4 linked regions of the Cricetulus griseus genome follow. The protein of the gene in region 2 purifies or fractionates together with the protein of the main gene of each other region. This does not show direct contact. Links are inferred from orthologs where the notes say so. Each region holds a gene or a part of one and is shown on either strand. Other genes may lie near its edges. The genes, in order: Dyrk1a, Lrch3, Sugt1 and Myo6.

Region 1 (3,566 bases), about 53 Mb from region 2:
CTGCTACATTATTGGTTACAGACATCTATGTGCTATAAAAACAGCTTTGGTACAATAAATTATCAAAAAAGAAAATAAATTTTTGTAAAATTCACAGCATAATTGTGAGGCAAAAAAGCAGTCACATAAAATTCTGCATTTTAAAATGTTCAGGATGAACAGAAGACGTCTTTGTGCAGAAGAAATGGTGAAGACACCACGTGCCGAGAAAAAGCCAAAGAAAAGGTAAAAAGCAGGAAGGGCACAGCTGTAGCTATTTCCATCAAAGCAAACCACTACATCTGTGGCCTTCAACCAATAAGGGGTCAGCTTTATGACACACGCAAAGTGACCTTGCAATACCTTACAATTAGTGGGTCACAAAAGTCTATTTTAAAAGAAAGGCCTCTTGAATTACCCATTCTCTGTGTTTTCAGGGTTAAGGACTGTCTGCAAACGCATGTCCACAAGTGATTGTATCTGAAATGGTAGGCTCTTCTAACTTCGAGTCCAAATCCATAAGGCCAAAGGTCATCCCAAAGACCACCACTCAGACCTCCCCAGGACTGGCCACAACTGACCCGCGCGGTGTTGCTTCTCAGTGCACCTTGCTGAGGAGACCAGTCCTGTTCCATTCCCATCTTCCCGGGGCCTCTCCAACAGGAAGGAGACCCACAGGATCCCATGGGATTGCTGCTTCGCTCCTCGGTGGGTTCAGATAGGAGAGTCCTGGTCCCCGCCACTTAGCATGCTTAATGTGCCTTACAAACTCCAACACAATCGTCCCTTTCACATAGCTGAAGATGGTGTTTGTGTGAGCTGGAGGTCCCTCTTCCTTACAGTACTGCATTTCCGTGCCCAAGTGTATAGAGGACATAAAAACCCTTATTTCCCAGCCCACCCCAACCCCAAACAAAACAAAACATGGGGAAAAGGAGAAAAATAAAAATGAAAAAAAAAAAAAAAAACCAAAAAAACAAAACACCCTTATGGGGCCCTTTATGCAAATTATGTGCAGTGCCTTTTTATTTTAAAATTAGTTGGCAAATGACCAAGACCAACATCTGAACATTTAACTTTTGTTGGATAGAAAGACAAACCCACTATGACCGGGAGATGGCAGGTTAAAAGGGGGGACAAAAAGAGGGCACCTGGGAGCTCTCCATGAAGACAGGTGGACATGGCTCTGAAAAACTTCTCTGTCCCTTTGCAATCTTTTCAAGTTAAAAAAGTCAGCTTTGCCCTCTTGTAGCGGTTCAGTGTGTTAATCTCCTTCTGATTCAAGCAGCTTTGCACTTTGTTTTTGGGAAAAACACCACTTCTATAAAAACACACAAGAAACAAACTCAAGTTTCAATGTAGTCACGAGCTAGCTACAGGACTCTGCTGCACACAAACTCCTGTCATGGGAGACTCTTCTCTATCAGCCCCCTGCCTCATCGTCAGGTGTCCTTCAGTCATGTAATGTGCAGGGCCTGTGTTAGCGGAAAATTGGTATGTTGGATGTCCAGCTATGCCAGTCTCTTGGCGGGGATTGGAGTAGACGGTTAAGTTAACGTCCATAGCTCCATTCTGTCCAAAGTCCAAGGCGTTAGCAGCCACTGGGCGGTTCTGATAGGCCTGGTTGCCTTGATTACCAGTAGAGGAGGAAGATGTGGAGGAAGAAGTCGTTGAGGAAGACAGGGATGTCATGGAGTGGTGGCTATGGCCAACCTCCATAGAATCCTGGGTAGAAGAGCTATTTGTTGGAGAATTGTAGACCCTTGGCCTGGTCCGGTTACCCAAGGCTTGCTGTCCATGGTGGTGGTGGTGGTGGTGGTGGTGGTGGTGATGATGGGAGCTGTTTCCATGGTGATGATGCAATGCGTTTTGCGGAGGGCCTACATGAAAGGTTGTTTCTTGAACAGGATGAGTTTCAACAGTGACTTGTGTAGGAGCTTCAGTGCCTGACCAGCCCAGAGGAGCCGGGAATGGCTGGCGCACCTGTGAGGGAAGACATTAAGGAAGGGTTATTCAGCACTGCTTCCAAGCTTAACCTACACCTGAGCATCTGCACTCAGGTGGGTGAACTTGGGGTTGGTGGCGGTGGGGGTTGTTGAAGCTTTTAACACACTAGATAGTTCTATACCATAAAATTCTATGTAAATTCCAGAGCAAAAAATGTTTTACAATTAAAATCAGCCAATTTTAAGAAGTTACACTCATGTCCAGGTCTCCATGTCACCGTCTACACCAGGTCAGTAAGCTTTCTATAAGGAACCACCAGGACATCTGGCAGGTCCATGAGAGCCTTCATTTCCCCTTGAAGTCCCTCTTCCTTCCAGATCTCTTGATACAATAAAAGGACTCGTATCCACCCAGATGTCTGACAATTCCTCCGGACTCAACCCAGCATGAAGTACCAAAGAGATACCTCAGACCAGATCCCAAATCTGACCACTTTTCTTACCGCCATCACCACTACCACTTAGCCTAGGCTAATGCAAAGGCCTCTTCACAAAATAAAAAATTTAACACCCCCCCCCGCCCCCCCGCTTCCACAGTTGTTCTTCTCAACCCATTGAGAAAAGCAAGACTATCCTTTCAAAACAAAAATCAACTCATTCCTTTACGGACTTGGATCCCAATCTCCCCAGACCCTTCTCACCCTGACCTGACCTGAGACTCATGGCATCTGCACTTGCTGCTTTCTCCCATCAAGAGCACGTTTATTTCTAATCTTTGCTTACATTCCCCTTTTAAAATCGCCATGTCAGTTCCTGAGTTCCCGGATGTTCTGACTCATGCTGCCCCAGCCCTCTGTGGCCAGGCTACTGATGTGCCCCTCTATGTACAACATGACTGTACCGGACTCTCCAGCCCCCTTCATGCTGGGCACAGCCATCAGCACAACTGTGGCTGAAATGAGCGTGACTTTAGATGTCACTCACTGTATCTAGTGCAGTTAGGTCTGTCTGCTGGGCACCATGGCCTGGGCAGCTGACCTGAGGGCACGTGGAGTCACACGGGGGCGACACAGCAGTGCTCTGGACACTGCATCAGCTGCTTCTCTGTTACACTCAAGGAGGGAAAACTCTTGCATCCTCTCAGATTTACTCAGATAGTGTGCAGTTAGTCTGTTAGTCACTATACCTCACGAGCCTTGGCTGCCTGCACTGGAGTCTGCACTGCCCAGGGCTTTGCCACCACCATGAAGGTAACTCCCCAGAGGCGCACACCTCTAGACTTTCCCTTTCTGTAAGTATCACTTGCCATTTTTGTGTTTTGCTGCTTACTTGTGTCAATGTAACCTCTGAAAAGGCAAAAGCTGTCTCTACCACTAGTTTAGCACAAAATGTTAAGTTCTTATTTAATAAAAGTTACATGGGAATGAAAAGTCCTGAAAATCCAGTAGGGGAGGACAAAACTGGAAGATAATCTCACAAAAGAAAATGCAGGTTGAACATCCTTACTCTGGTATGAAACACTTGAAATGAGAGCATTTAACAATTTCAGATTAGGGACATTCAACTGGTAAAAAGTGAACAGCTACAGCAAAATCTAAAAGAACTGAAATCGAAGTGCTTGGAGTCCCAGCACCCTCAGAT
Region 2 (3,566 bases):
TGATATTAAAATTTTAATTTGAAAACTCAACTACATTATTAACTATGCCTCAAAAATTTAGTAACACAGAAATCATTTAATGCTAGTTAGAAAATAACCAATGACATGTCCCCATTTTCTGTGGAGATATTAAGACTTGTACATTTAAAACTTACTTAATTATATTTCAAGCCAAAGCTATAAAATTATTTTCAAAACAATCTTAGTATTCAATTTTTATCATAGAGAAGACTGCAGACATGTTGGACAATCAAAAAATAAAATATTAACTTACAAGTTCCGTCAAATGTCTGAGATGTCCAATTTCTTCAGGAAGTGAGACCAATTTGTTATTACTAGCAATTAAGACTTTCAATGGTAAATTACACAAGTGTACTGGCAATGTTGACAGTTGGTTCCGACTAAATGAGTAGAGAAAGAGCAGTCAGACACCACTGATAAAAAAGTTTCCATCTTTGTCATTTTAGATACAAAAATAAGTCTTAGAAGGAACAAATAGGATACTAGATTTTAGTTCTTGTCAGTTTAATCAGTTCCCAGCTGACTAAACTTAAAACAGATAACAGGAATTTTTGTTTATTAAAAAAGAAAATCAGAAACACAAAATAATAAAGCACAACTATCATTAGTACAAAAACAAATTAAAGTTTACTTTGTAAATTTAACCCCATAATAATTCTTTTAGGGTCAAGTCTTTCCCCATTTTCTTTTCTTTTTTTGGAGCCTATCCTGGCACTCCCTCTGTAGACCAGGCTGGCCTCGAACTCAGAGATCTGCCTGCCTTGTGCCTCCTGAGTGCTGGGATTAAAGGTGTGGGCTACCAACGCACGGTCTTTCCCCATTTTCAAGATCTTTTTTGTTCAATAATATAGTTAATGGACTTTAAAAAAAATTTTAATTGAATAATAATTCTATTCCTACACATGCTTATTAAGAAAAGGTTAACATTTACATGCAAATTTCTCTAGTAGTGCTATTTTTAACATGATTTTAAAAACTTCTAGAACTAAATATCTGAACAGAATGAATTCTATTTTTTATGTTTTACTTTTATTTTTAATTAAGCATGTATGCATATGTTAGAGAGGTGGGTCTAAGCACGTTGAGTACAGCACCCAAAGAAGCCAGAGAGGGCACCAGATTCCCTTGGAGAAGCAATTTGTGAGCTGCCTGACTAGGATGCTAGGAACTGAACTCAAGTTCTCCGAAAGAGCAGTATAAGCTTTTAAATACTAAGTCATCTCTCTAGCCTCAGGAATGGAATTTTTTTAAGGCATATAAACTGGGCACTTCTAATGTCCAACAAGATGGCTCAGTGGGTAAAGGCACTTTTTTACAAGAATGGCAAGCTGAATTCAATCTCTAGAACCCACATAAAAGTGGAAGTAAAGAAGTGATTACACAGTTGTCCTTTGCCTCTGTATGTGCGTTACAGCACAAACCCAAATACTCACATTATATGCACACACAACAAAAACACCAAAGTAGTGTGTTTTGCTGGGGACTGAACCTAGAGCCTTGTGCACACCATGCTCTTACCAGCTAAGCTGTATCCCACCCAGTCCATCAGATGTAGTATTTTCTTGAAGCTAATTTGAAAATGTAACTGGAGAACCATGGCTGCAAGACTTCTACAAGCCTATTAAGCTAATGGCTAGCAGGGTCTGTTAACTATGCAAAGCTAAAAATAAAGGGAGAAACAAGAGAAACGAGGGAGAAACTGTCATAATATCCTAAGAACCTATTAGAAACTGCTGGTGTGAACAGGTACCATAAATAACTGTAAACATTTTAGTGACAGAGAGGTTCAAAATTAAAGATCATATAAAACCACTTTTTCTGAAAGAATACTATTCTTACCTAATATTTAAGAACGTCAGAGCTTGTAAGTTTAGAATGGCCTCTGGGATATATCGAATACAATTCTGGTACAGGTTAAGACTTTCCAGAGAAACAAAGTGACACGCTTCCATAGGAATTTCTGAGAGGCGATTTCGTGACAAGTCTGAAAGAAAACAGAAAAACTTAAAACAATTTGGAACTTGTTTTACTGAAATTCATTAGTATGCTTCATAGTAACTTGAATTCGCCAGAATTCTTATTGTGGAAACTGGTTCAACATAAACTTTAAAATATTGATTAGTTGTGTGAATAAACCACTAAGCACACGTCTTTAAACTGTTGCTGGGAAATGTTTCATTTTTACTTTCTACACACACTAAAAATAAAATCATTATTCTTTATAAGTAATACATATTCTAAGACATTGGCCATTCATATCAAAATTGTATCACTAAATTCCAATAACATCGGAAACAAGTGGATCCCTCCCCCAAAATCCACCTCCCAAGTAGATATTTGAGAGAGAGAAAGAGAGAGAGACAGAGAGAGAGAGACTGAAGCTACCCTGACATATTCATGGAGGCCAGTGGACAACTGCCCAGAGTAGGTTCTCTCCTTCCACCTTGGGACTCAGATCAGCTTGTCAGGTCTCGGCAGCATGTACCTTTTATCCTCTAAGCCATTTCCTCAGCCCAACTGTCCTACTCTTTACCAAAGAAATCATGATGCACCTGCTGTTCCCAAGCTGCTAACTTGGTTTCTAGGTCCTTTGAATTTGTCTTTGTATTTTAAAATGAACTTGTTAGATCTCAAAAAGGTGAACACTTTTTGAGTTTCCCAGGATCACCCCAATTCCAACAAGGTGGGAAGAAAATCCTAGGAGCATTGAACCTTCAGTCTAAAAGCACACACAGCTCATCTCCTCGGCAATGGAGCGTTGAATATAAGACAGCCTCACAATTTTCCTCAGGGATTGTACCAGACTTCTGGTATATTCCCAGATCCTATTATTTCATAAATGATGTACTTCTAATCACTTGCTACTCACATACAGAAGTAAAATAATTGTCATATGTTATTTTGTATCTGACAGCCTTGGTAAACTTTTAGTTCAAGTAACCTGTCTACAGATCCCTTCAGACTCTTTACACAGCTATGAATAATGGAGCCTTTGTTTCTTCCTCTGTGCTTCCCATTTATTTACGTAATTTCCTCACCCTGCTTGTTAGAACATCAGGCATAATGCTGAATAAAAGTAACAGTATCTCTTTTGTTTCTAATTTTAACCATTTTCTTTGTTGATTCTTCATAAAATTAAGAAAACCCTCTTAGTTTGCTAAGACTTTTTATAGGTAGTGGTTATTAAATTTATTAACAATTTTTCCTCCTCTATTGAGATGATCATATGATTTTTATATTTTATTACATTAATGAGGAATTTTCCTTATTAGCTTTTTTTTTTTTTTGTAAAGGTAAATGCATTAAGAAAATGTGAGCTTTCGGGGTAGTGGTGGCACTCGCCTTTAAATCCCAACACTCAGGAGGCAGAGGCAAGCAGATCTCTATGAGTTTGAGGCCAGTCTGGTGTACAGAGCAAGCTCCAGGACAGGCTTCAAAGCTACAGAGAAACCCTATCTTGAAAAACAAAACAAAAATAGTGAGAAAGTACTAACTCCCAGGAGTAAAAGGAGAGCCAAGAGAGGAATTCCCAGTTTTTACTTTAT
Region 3 (4,107 bases), on a different chromosome or scaffold from region 2:
GAGTGCTGGGATTAAAGGCGTGTGCCACCAACGCCCGGCTTCTTTTTCTTTTTTTTTTTTAGTTCAGCTAACTGTATCTTCTCACCAGCTTACCCAGAAACCTGCACCTCTTTCAGTGTAGCGGCCAGCAGGCCCTGTACAGTCTCAAAGTCTCTCTCACACCTCCATTCTTAAAGTCAGTGGATTCAGATTCCTGTGCTTGACCTGTTACCTTCCATTAACACTTGTCTTTCCCCCTCAAACCACCCATTCACTGTACAGCTGGGACACGCCTACACTTTAAACTTTTTTAGCATTCCACACCGCTATCTCTTGATGACTCGGCACGTACTTAGTTCACGTGCCCTTCCATTTCTCCAGCTTGAGCATGGGCTCACGTTTCCTTCTATTTTCAAATTCCACCCCCGTTATCTGTTGCAGCTGCAGTGATTCTTTTTAGACATCGACCACCCTCTCATTCGTTTTGTAAAACGACTTCCGGAGCTCTGAAATCAAGTCTGGGGCAGCGGGTACTTTAATTCTGTTCCTTGCTCTACTGAGCCACTCACGCCCACTCCCTCCTGTGGCCCGTTACCACTTCGCCTCAAACAACGCACAGGAAGCTTCCCAGTCTGACGTTTGGCTCTAAGGGCGGCGAGGGTGGGAGGGGAGGCCTGGCCCGTTAGTTAGCACGCGAGGCACCCCTAAGACAATTTAGGCCAAGTTTCATTCGCTCGCTGCCTGCAAAACAGGCTTTTCTTGGTTTGGAAGGCCGAGCAGGAAGGAAGTTTGGGGTGTGGAGCGCTAGGATCCGGCAGCGCCTGCGGAAAACCCCGTTCTCCCCGTCCGTAAAGCCACTTCCGGCGAGCCGGCCTGTCGGAGCTCCCCGCTGACGGTCGTACGAACCGACGCGCCATAGCCGGCTCCGCGGCCGGAAGAAGACCTGGCAGCGACGGATGACGTCACGCACAGCTTGGCCGCCCGCGGCAGCCATGTTGAAAACCAGAGAAAACGGTGCTTAACGTGGCGCACCTTAGCGGAGCCGCGAACTCCCCCGACGGGTCCCGGCGCCTGGCAGCGCCGCTTGGAGACCACGCTAGAGCTCCCGCAAGCCCTGCGGAACCCCTACGGGCGGACGGCGGGGCGCCGGCGCCATGACCACGCCCCCGGGGCGGGACCTGGCGCGCGTCACCGACACGGGGCGGGGCCGGGGAGCGTGTCCTCCTCGTTCCCAGCGGGCCCCGCGCCCATCTGCCCGCCCTCCGCTTCCTTTTCCGCGGCCGCATGCTGCGCGGCTGCTGATTGGCTGCCGAGGACGGAAGCTCTGTTGGTGTGTCTTCAGAAGTTTCCCCCCCCTGGGCCGCGGCAGAGGTGGTAACCAAGGTAGAAAACGCTCGGGCCGAAGCTTTAGTGGCTCTTAGGGATGGCGGCACCTGCAGCAGGATCTGCAACGTCCCAGCGGTGCGTATTTTTCCTCCCCTTTGCTGTGTGTCTTGCTGTTCTTTCCTTGGTTAGTGAGCCCTGCTGAAGTCGTTGTTTTCCTGGCAGGTTTTCCCAGAGCTTCTCAGATGCTCTGATCGACGAGGACCCCCAGGCGGCGTTAGAGGTGAGTGAGTTCATTTCTGCTCCGTTCGCACTGGGATTGTTGGGTTCCTACCGACTCCGCTGCTTCCCAGCATTACCTTCGTGGGACTAAAGCTACAATTTTCAGTGTGTCTCAGGCCCAGTATTATGGTCGTGAGATCCATTTCTTTGTCCCCCAGCGACCCTTTTGCCATAGATCTTGCCTTTATACTCCCCAGACGCAGGCACATAGTTGCCACCTGTGGTTGGCCTGAAACGACTTCATTTATTGGCGTTTATGGTCAAGGAAAAGGCGAAGATAGGGCTTAATGTAGCATTTTTTTAGTTTTGACAGTTATGGTTGCCCAGGTACTGTTACGAGTACTTGATTGACTAAGTTTACTAAAGAACATTTACTTTAAAGATGGTTGTCCTTGTTCTTCGTACAGTTTAAAAAAGAAACGCGTTTATATATACCTATGCTGTCCTTAAACTTTGGATCCTGTGATTTCTTGAGATGCACCACTAAGCCCCGCCTTTTTTTATTTTTTAAAAACTTTTTGTTTGTTATGTATACAGTATTCTGCCTACATGTATGCCTGCAGGCCAGAAGAGGACACCACACCTCATTTCAGATGGTTGTGAGCCACCATGTGGTTGCTGGGAATTGAACTGGGACCTTTGAGAGAACAGGCAGTGAGTGCTCTTACTGATGAGCCATCTCTCCAGCCCATGCCCTGCCTAAATTTTTATAATGTTGTATGAGTTGTTTCTGGGCTATTTTTGGTGAATTCTAGAACAAACTATCTTTGTACGGATGTTGCTAAGAGCAGTGGCCAGGCTGGAGAGAGTCGTTAGCATATGTCAGTATGGTGGGGAAGGCCCTGTAATCCCAGTACTCAGGAGGAATGTACAGGGGTCAGAAATTCAAGGTCATCCTCAGCGACATAGTGAGTTGAGGCTATGAGTTGGATGTGTGAAACCCTGCCTGACCTTCAGAGCTCAAGAATCTTGCTAGGAAGGGGGAAACATTTTTACATCCCGAGACTTAAAGAAACCGCTTTTCCAGAGGCTAGCAGACTAGTAGAACTATATAGTTGTTTGAAAGTTTCAAGTTTGGTTTTGTATTGTTAGGTTCACCGAGTGATCATCAGGTGAAACAGATAATTCGGTTCCAAAACAAGGGATTAGCAAACTGGGTGGTAGTGGTGCATGCCTTTAATCCCAGCTTTTGGGAAGGACAGACTGGAAAGAGAGATCTCTGTGAGTTCAAGTACAGCCAGGACTATGCAGGGAAATTCTGTCTGGAAAAACAAAACAAAACCAAACAAAAAGGCATTAATGACTTTGAGATTTAAGACTGGAAGCAAAATTTCTTTTCTGACAAAGGAAATAAATGAGAATATGGGGAGGACCGAGAACGGAAGAAATGATTGGGTGTTGGGTACAGATCTAGGCTGCCCCCAAAGTCCTAGGGTCATCGACAGATGCTGCTCCTTCCTGTGTATTCCATGTAATATTCTATAACTTCAGTGGCTTCCACACATTCTGGACTTATGTGTTAGTTTTTTCTGTTTGAATAAAAATGGGTAAAGAAATCAAAATAGATGCTCGTGTGTGAAAAGGGGGAGAAAGTTCATTCTAAACTGCCAAGGCAAAGCAGAGAAATAAGGGGTGTGTGTGTATGTGTGTAGGGGAATCTCCTGAATTTTGTGGGAATGGGTACTTGGGAGGAAGGGAGCCTGTGAGCTGGGGGGGGGGTGCTTGTAAGTAGGGAGTGAGGGAGCCTAGCGTTGACCTTGACATGCTAACTGGTGCCACATATGTCCCTTTCCCAGAGATACACAGAATAACTACTTTTAGCATGTAGGAAGCCTCTGAGGGAATGCTATCTTTTGTCTAAATGCCAGCTTTGGGGAAAGATATTTCTTTGGGGACCTGATACTGTTTCTGATCATCTTTATTTTACTGTATTAATGATACAGTAGCCAGAATGACAACTTTAAAATATAAGTTGGGTCATGTCACTTGTACTAAAACTTTCCATGACCTTCCCTCACACTGAAGGTCCAAATTCCTTATAATGGCTGGCAGGGTCTCTGGTGAGCTGGACTCTATAGAGCTGTACTGTTGCAAGTGCTTCTAACTCAGGTCTACTTCTTTTTCCCAAAAATATACTTGACCTATATCTCATTTTTTACCTGGGAAGGTTTATTTCTTTAGAATTCACCTCAAGTGAACCCTGCTCAGAGGAACTAGCTTTCCTGTGTAAATCTGAATTAGGCATGAAAGTAGTTTCGAAGCCCAGTGTTGGTTGTCCACACCTTTAATCCCAGCACTCAGGAGGCAGAGGCAGGTGGATCTCTGTGAGTTTGAGACCAGCCTGGTCTCCAGAGTGAGTGCCAGGATAGGTTCCAAAGCCACAGAGAAACCCTGTCTTGGAAAAACCAACAACAACAACAAAAAAAAGTAGGAGTTTTGTGTATCTTGATTACTCCTCTGTTCTCAGTGTAGCACTTGGTACTCGTGATGGGCAAGCTCTTCTGCATGATTCTTGCAACGTTT
Region 4 (3,566 bases), about 130 Mb from region 2:
GATCTTCCGAGCTTTTAACTAGCGCATCATACTCTTTCTGTATTTGTTCCCTTGTCATCATGGTGGACTTAAAAAACCAAAGAACAAACATGTCCTTAAGAATCACCTCCTCTGCACAATGTGGATATGCTTAAACCACCGAACTGTACGCTTTAAAACGGACACAATGATAAGTTCAATGGTTTGGGGTTTTCACAAAAAAAATAAATAAATAAATAAATAAAATAAAATAAATAATAAAAACCTCTAAGATATATATAAATAGCTGGCAAAACTGATCAACAAAACTATGTTAATATCTTTTTTTTTTGCCGGCGTTGGTGGCGCATGCCTTTAATCCCAGCACTCGGGAGGCAGAGGCAAGCGGATCTCTCTGAGTTCGAGGCCAGCCTGGTCTCCAGAGCGAGTGCCAGGATAGGCTCCAAAGCTACACAGAGAAACCCTATCTCAAAAAAAAAAAAAAAAAAAAAAAAAAAAAAAAGATTTTTTTTTTTTTTTAAAACAGTTTCCCGTAGCCCAGGGTATCCTTGAACTAGCTATGGAGCTCAGGAGCCTCACAAACACTAGGATTATAGGTGTATACCATCGTGTCCAGCTAGTCACATATTCCTTGAAAATCTTCTCCACACATAAATACTTGAGTCTAGGTCCTCTCAAACAAGCCATCAATATCAGTAGCAGGCTGTGAGAAAAGCTGTATAAATGTAGCTTTAAAATATTTTTAAGGAATGACTATCTCCTTTAGCCAGTTTGCTTTCTTTACTTACACCATTCAATTAGTACCTAAGGAATGTTGGGAAATTACAACTAAACCTGTTGGATGATTTTCCTGGGTTAATTCTGATTGAAGCCAGTCTCACCTTTGATCTGTAAAATCAAAATCTACTTGTAGCATTTTCTTCCTTTTCTTCATTATTTTTTTCTTTCTACCTCTAATATTTAACCTGTCAACAGGAACTACAAAAGGCTTAATTTAAGTGCATTGACTTCTGAGTGCTACTTGAGAAAACCTGTAAAACACCCTAACATATAATTGAGGAAATTGAAATAAAGATGAAATGTGGTAACAAGCATTATAGAAAATATTTTTAGTCACATTGATATTCAAGCAATTGAAAAATCAAACCTAAAATTGCTCCACTTTCTCCTTTAAAAATGAAGAAAGCTAAGTGCTACTTTTAAAATAGCTAAGTAAATTATGAAGGTCATGTGTTAACCACAACAAATCATGTATCCTAACAGCAGAGGTACAAAGTGACACACATAATTATGATGGAGAACTATGTAAAAATGTATGCGTCCAAAGTATGATTATAAAGGAAACGGTAACACATATTATCTGAACGCTTAGTGTGCTGCTACAAAAGAGTGTTGGATGACTTTCGCTCCATTTTCAACACTGACACATTACTTTTATAATTTAGTAGTTTCATTTCCGGGACCTGAGGACGTAGCTCTGTAGAAGGGCATGCTCAATGAACTTTGCTCAAGACCCAGCACCTCCAGAAAGAAAAATAAATACAATAGAAAAAAATTTGTTTTGGAAAGTAGAAAAGCATAAAAGGAATTAATTTACATTAACCCTCCCTGGATAATGACTGTAAAAGCTTAACAACAAAGTTTTAGTATTTTAGTTACTCTCTACAGGGTAATATTTTGCCTAACAACAGACAAAAAAAATCACATATAGCCGGGTGTTGGTGGCGCACACGCCTTTAATCCCAGCACTCGGGAGGCAGAGGCAGGCGGATCTCTGTGAGTTCGAGACCAGCCTTGTCTACAAGAGCTAGTTCCAGGACAGGCTCCAAAGCCACAGAGAAACCCTGTCTCAAAAACAAACAAACAAACAAAAAATCACATAAAGATTATCTTTTTAATACAAAATTTTTTACATATTGAGAAAAAATTAATGTGGGTATCTACTTTTTAATGTTTCATATCTTGAATAAGTAAGTGTGTTTTCCTGCATAAAGTTCAATATCAATAACAAGAAACAGTAAATTATATAAAAAGTTCAAGTTAGCTAGATGAAAATGACCCACCTTAATTTTGGCCATCAAAGCATCAATAGAAATTTCCAGATCTTTGATTTGTCTGTTCACCTCTGGCTTCCCATCTTTCAATGCATTTACTACTTCATTGAACTTATCGAGTCGTTTCTTCAGGGTGCCCACCTTAACCAGGCCATCAATGCTGCAATAGTAAGGCTCCATCAGCTAGTTACCTCACAAACTAATGTTCTAGGAGGACTCTCATTGCTAAACAGTGAACACTGCGGCTACACGGGCAGGCTACTTCTGTCTTCAATATTGTTTAGTAGTCTGTTCAGGTCTCTCATTAAGTATGAAAAGAATCAAATACACATAGGATTAGCATTGATGGCCATCAATAACATGGAGGCCAGCTATATTTAGACAGAAAAATGAGGATTCATTGAAATTATAAACTCAAATGATCCAACATTTCTTTGAAAAGGTGTGGTGTCAATAGCTATCCAAACTTCCAAAGTTTAAAAAGTAACCTGGCAATACAAATTTTAAGTAAGATGAAAATGAAATATGTTCAGTGAAATGACACACCAGCAAAGTAAGATTATTTTATGAACATTCCTGAAATTACCACCAGGCTGGTGGGTGTCTTCCAAAACAGCATCTAACTTGGCATTATCAAGAAACTCAAATCATACAGTAACCAGAATGGCAGTCTCTCTCGGTCTTTCATTGCAATCTTTAAGTGTTCACATGTCTGCCAGCCACTCAAACCCTGTGGTAGAACAGCAAGCTAAGTAACGAATGAGCGGATTCCAAATCCACAGCACAAACAAGCCATTTGTATAGATCTTCAGACACTGTTCATCTTACCGTGGTTTGTGTCTCCTTTTGCAAAGCCACATTCGAATCGTTTTCTGCATTTTAATGCACGCTTCAGCTCGATATTGTATTTTGTTTTTCACTATGTGTAAGAGTGAAATAAAATGACAGAAACATATTGGTTTAAATAGGACATAAATTAAAAACTCATTCATTCCCACAAAGCAATTCTCATAAAATCTTGATGTATATGTTATTCCAGTGATCAGAGGCAGGAAGTCTAAAGTTTCTTTAACTTCTTAAAAATAATAAAAAAAAAAGATGGATGTGGCTAGCACTCTATTTCAAATGTATTCTCAAGTGTGCAACACTACTATTAACAAACTTTTCTGTGCCATATTTCTCTTAAATGTTCTATTAAATATTATAACTTTCTTTAAAAAGTTAACCTGCCAAATGAGTTTAGGAAACAGAGTTTACTTCCTTCTGGAAATGCACTATAGACAAAGCCGAAAGCACTGAGCCTGTGGGAAACTTTCATATTTTACTTGGAAAATAATGGGAAAAGAGGTTCTGTTGTCTTTTTTTTTTTTTTTTTTTTTTTTTTTTTTTTTGGTTTTTCGAGACAGGGTTTCTCTGTGTAGCTTTGGAGCCTATCCTGGCACTCACTCTGGAGACCAGGTTGGCCTCCAACTCACAGAAATCCGTCTGCCTCTGCCTCCCGAGTGCTGGGATTAAAGGTGTCTTTTTATCATA

Evidence for each region.
Region 1: the proteins of Lrch3 (region 2) and Dyrk1a purify together in Homo sapiens (affinity purification with mass spectrometry; 3 studies listed by BioGRID and IntAct, counting the BioPlex papers as one, with this or other methods). This does not show direct contact. The link is inferred for Cricetulus griseus from reciprocal best matches to the Homo sapiens genes LRCH3 and DYRK1A.
Region 3: the proteins of Lrch3 (region 2) and Sugt1 purify together in Homo sapiens (co-immunoprecipitation; 3 studies listed by BioGRID and IntAct, counting the BioPlex papers as one, with this or other methods). This does not show direct contact. The link is inferred for Cricetulus griseus from reciprocal best matches to the Homo sapiens genes LRCH3 and SUGT1.
Region 4: the proteins of Lrch3 (region 2) and Myo6 purify together in Homo sapiens (co-immunoprecipitation; 3 studies listed by BioGRID and IntAct, with this or other methods). This does not show direct contact. The link is inferred for Cricetulus griseus from reciprocal best matches to the Homo sapiens genes LRCH3 and MYO6.

The regions. Positions count from the first base shown.
Region 1 is NC_048597.1:3,174,650-3,178,215, forward strand, and holds part of Dyrk1a (dual specificity tyrosine-phosphorylation-regulated kinase 1A), read right to left. Parts: intron 1,963-3,566; coding exon 1,342-1,962; 3' UTR 1-1,341. UniProt on the Homo sapiens protein: Dual-specificity kinase which possesses both serine/threonine and tyrosine kinase activities. Exhibits a substrate preference for proline at position P+1 and arginine at position P-3.
Region 2 is NC_048597.1:56,585,874-56,589,439, forward strand, and holds part of Lrch3 (DISP complex protein LRCH3), read right to left. Parts: intron 2,006-3,566; coding exon 1,861-2,005; intron 402-1,860; coding exon 275-401; intron 1-274. UniProt on the Homo sapiens protein: As part of the DISP complex, may regulate the association of septins with actin and thereby regulate the actin cytoskeleton.
Region 3 is NW_023276807.1:233,937,773-233,941,879, forward strand, and holds the start of Sugt1 (protein SGT1 homolog), read left to right. Parts: upstream 1-1,278; 5' UTR 1,279-1,402; coding exon 1,403-1,440; intron 1,441-1,527; coding exon 1,528-1,585; intron 1,586-4,107. UniProt on the Homo sapiens protein: May play a role in ubiquitination and subsequent proteasomal degradation of target proteins.
Region 4 is NC_048597.1:191,195,214-191,198,779, reverse strand, and holds part of Myo6 (unconventional myosin-VI), read right to left. Parts: intron 2,953-3,566; coding exon 2,862-2,952; intron 2,194-2,861; coding exon 2,043-2,193; intron 68-2,042; coding exon 1-67. UniProt on the Homo sapiens protein: Myosins are actin-based motor molecules with ATPase activity. Unconventional myosins serve in intracellular movements. Myosin 6 is a reverse-direction motor protein that moves towards the minus-end of actin filaments.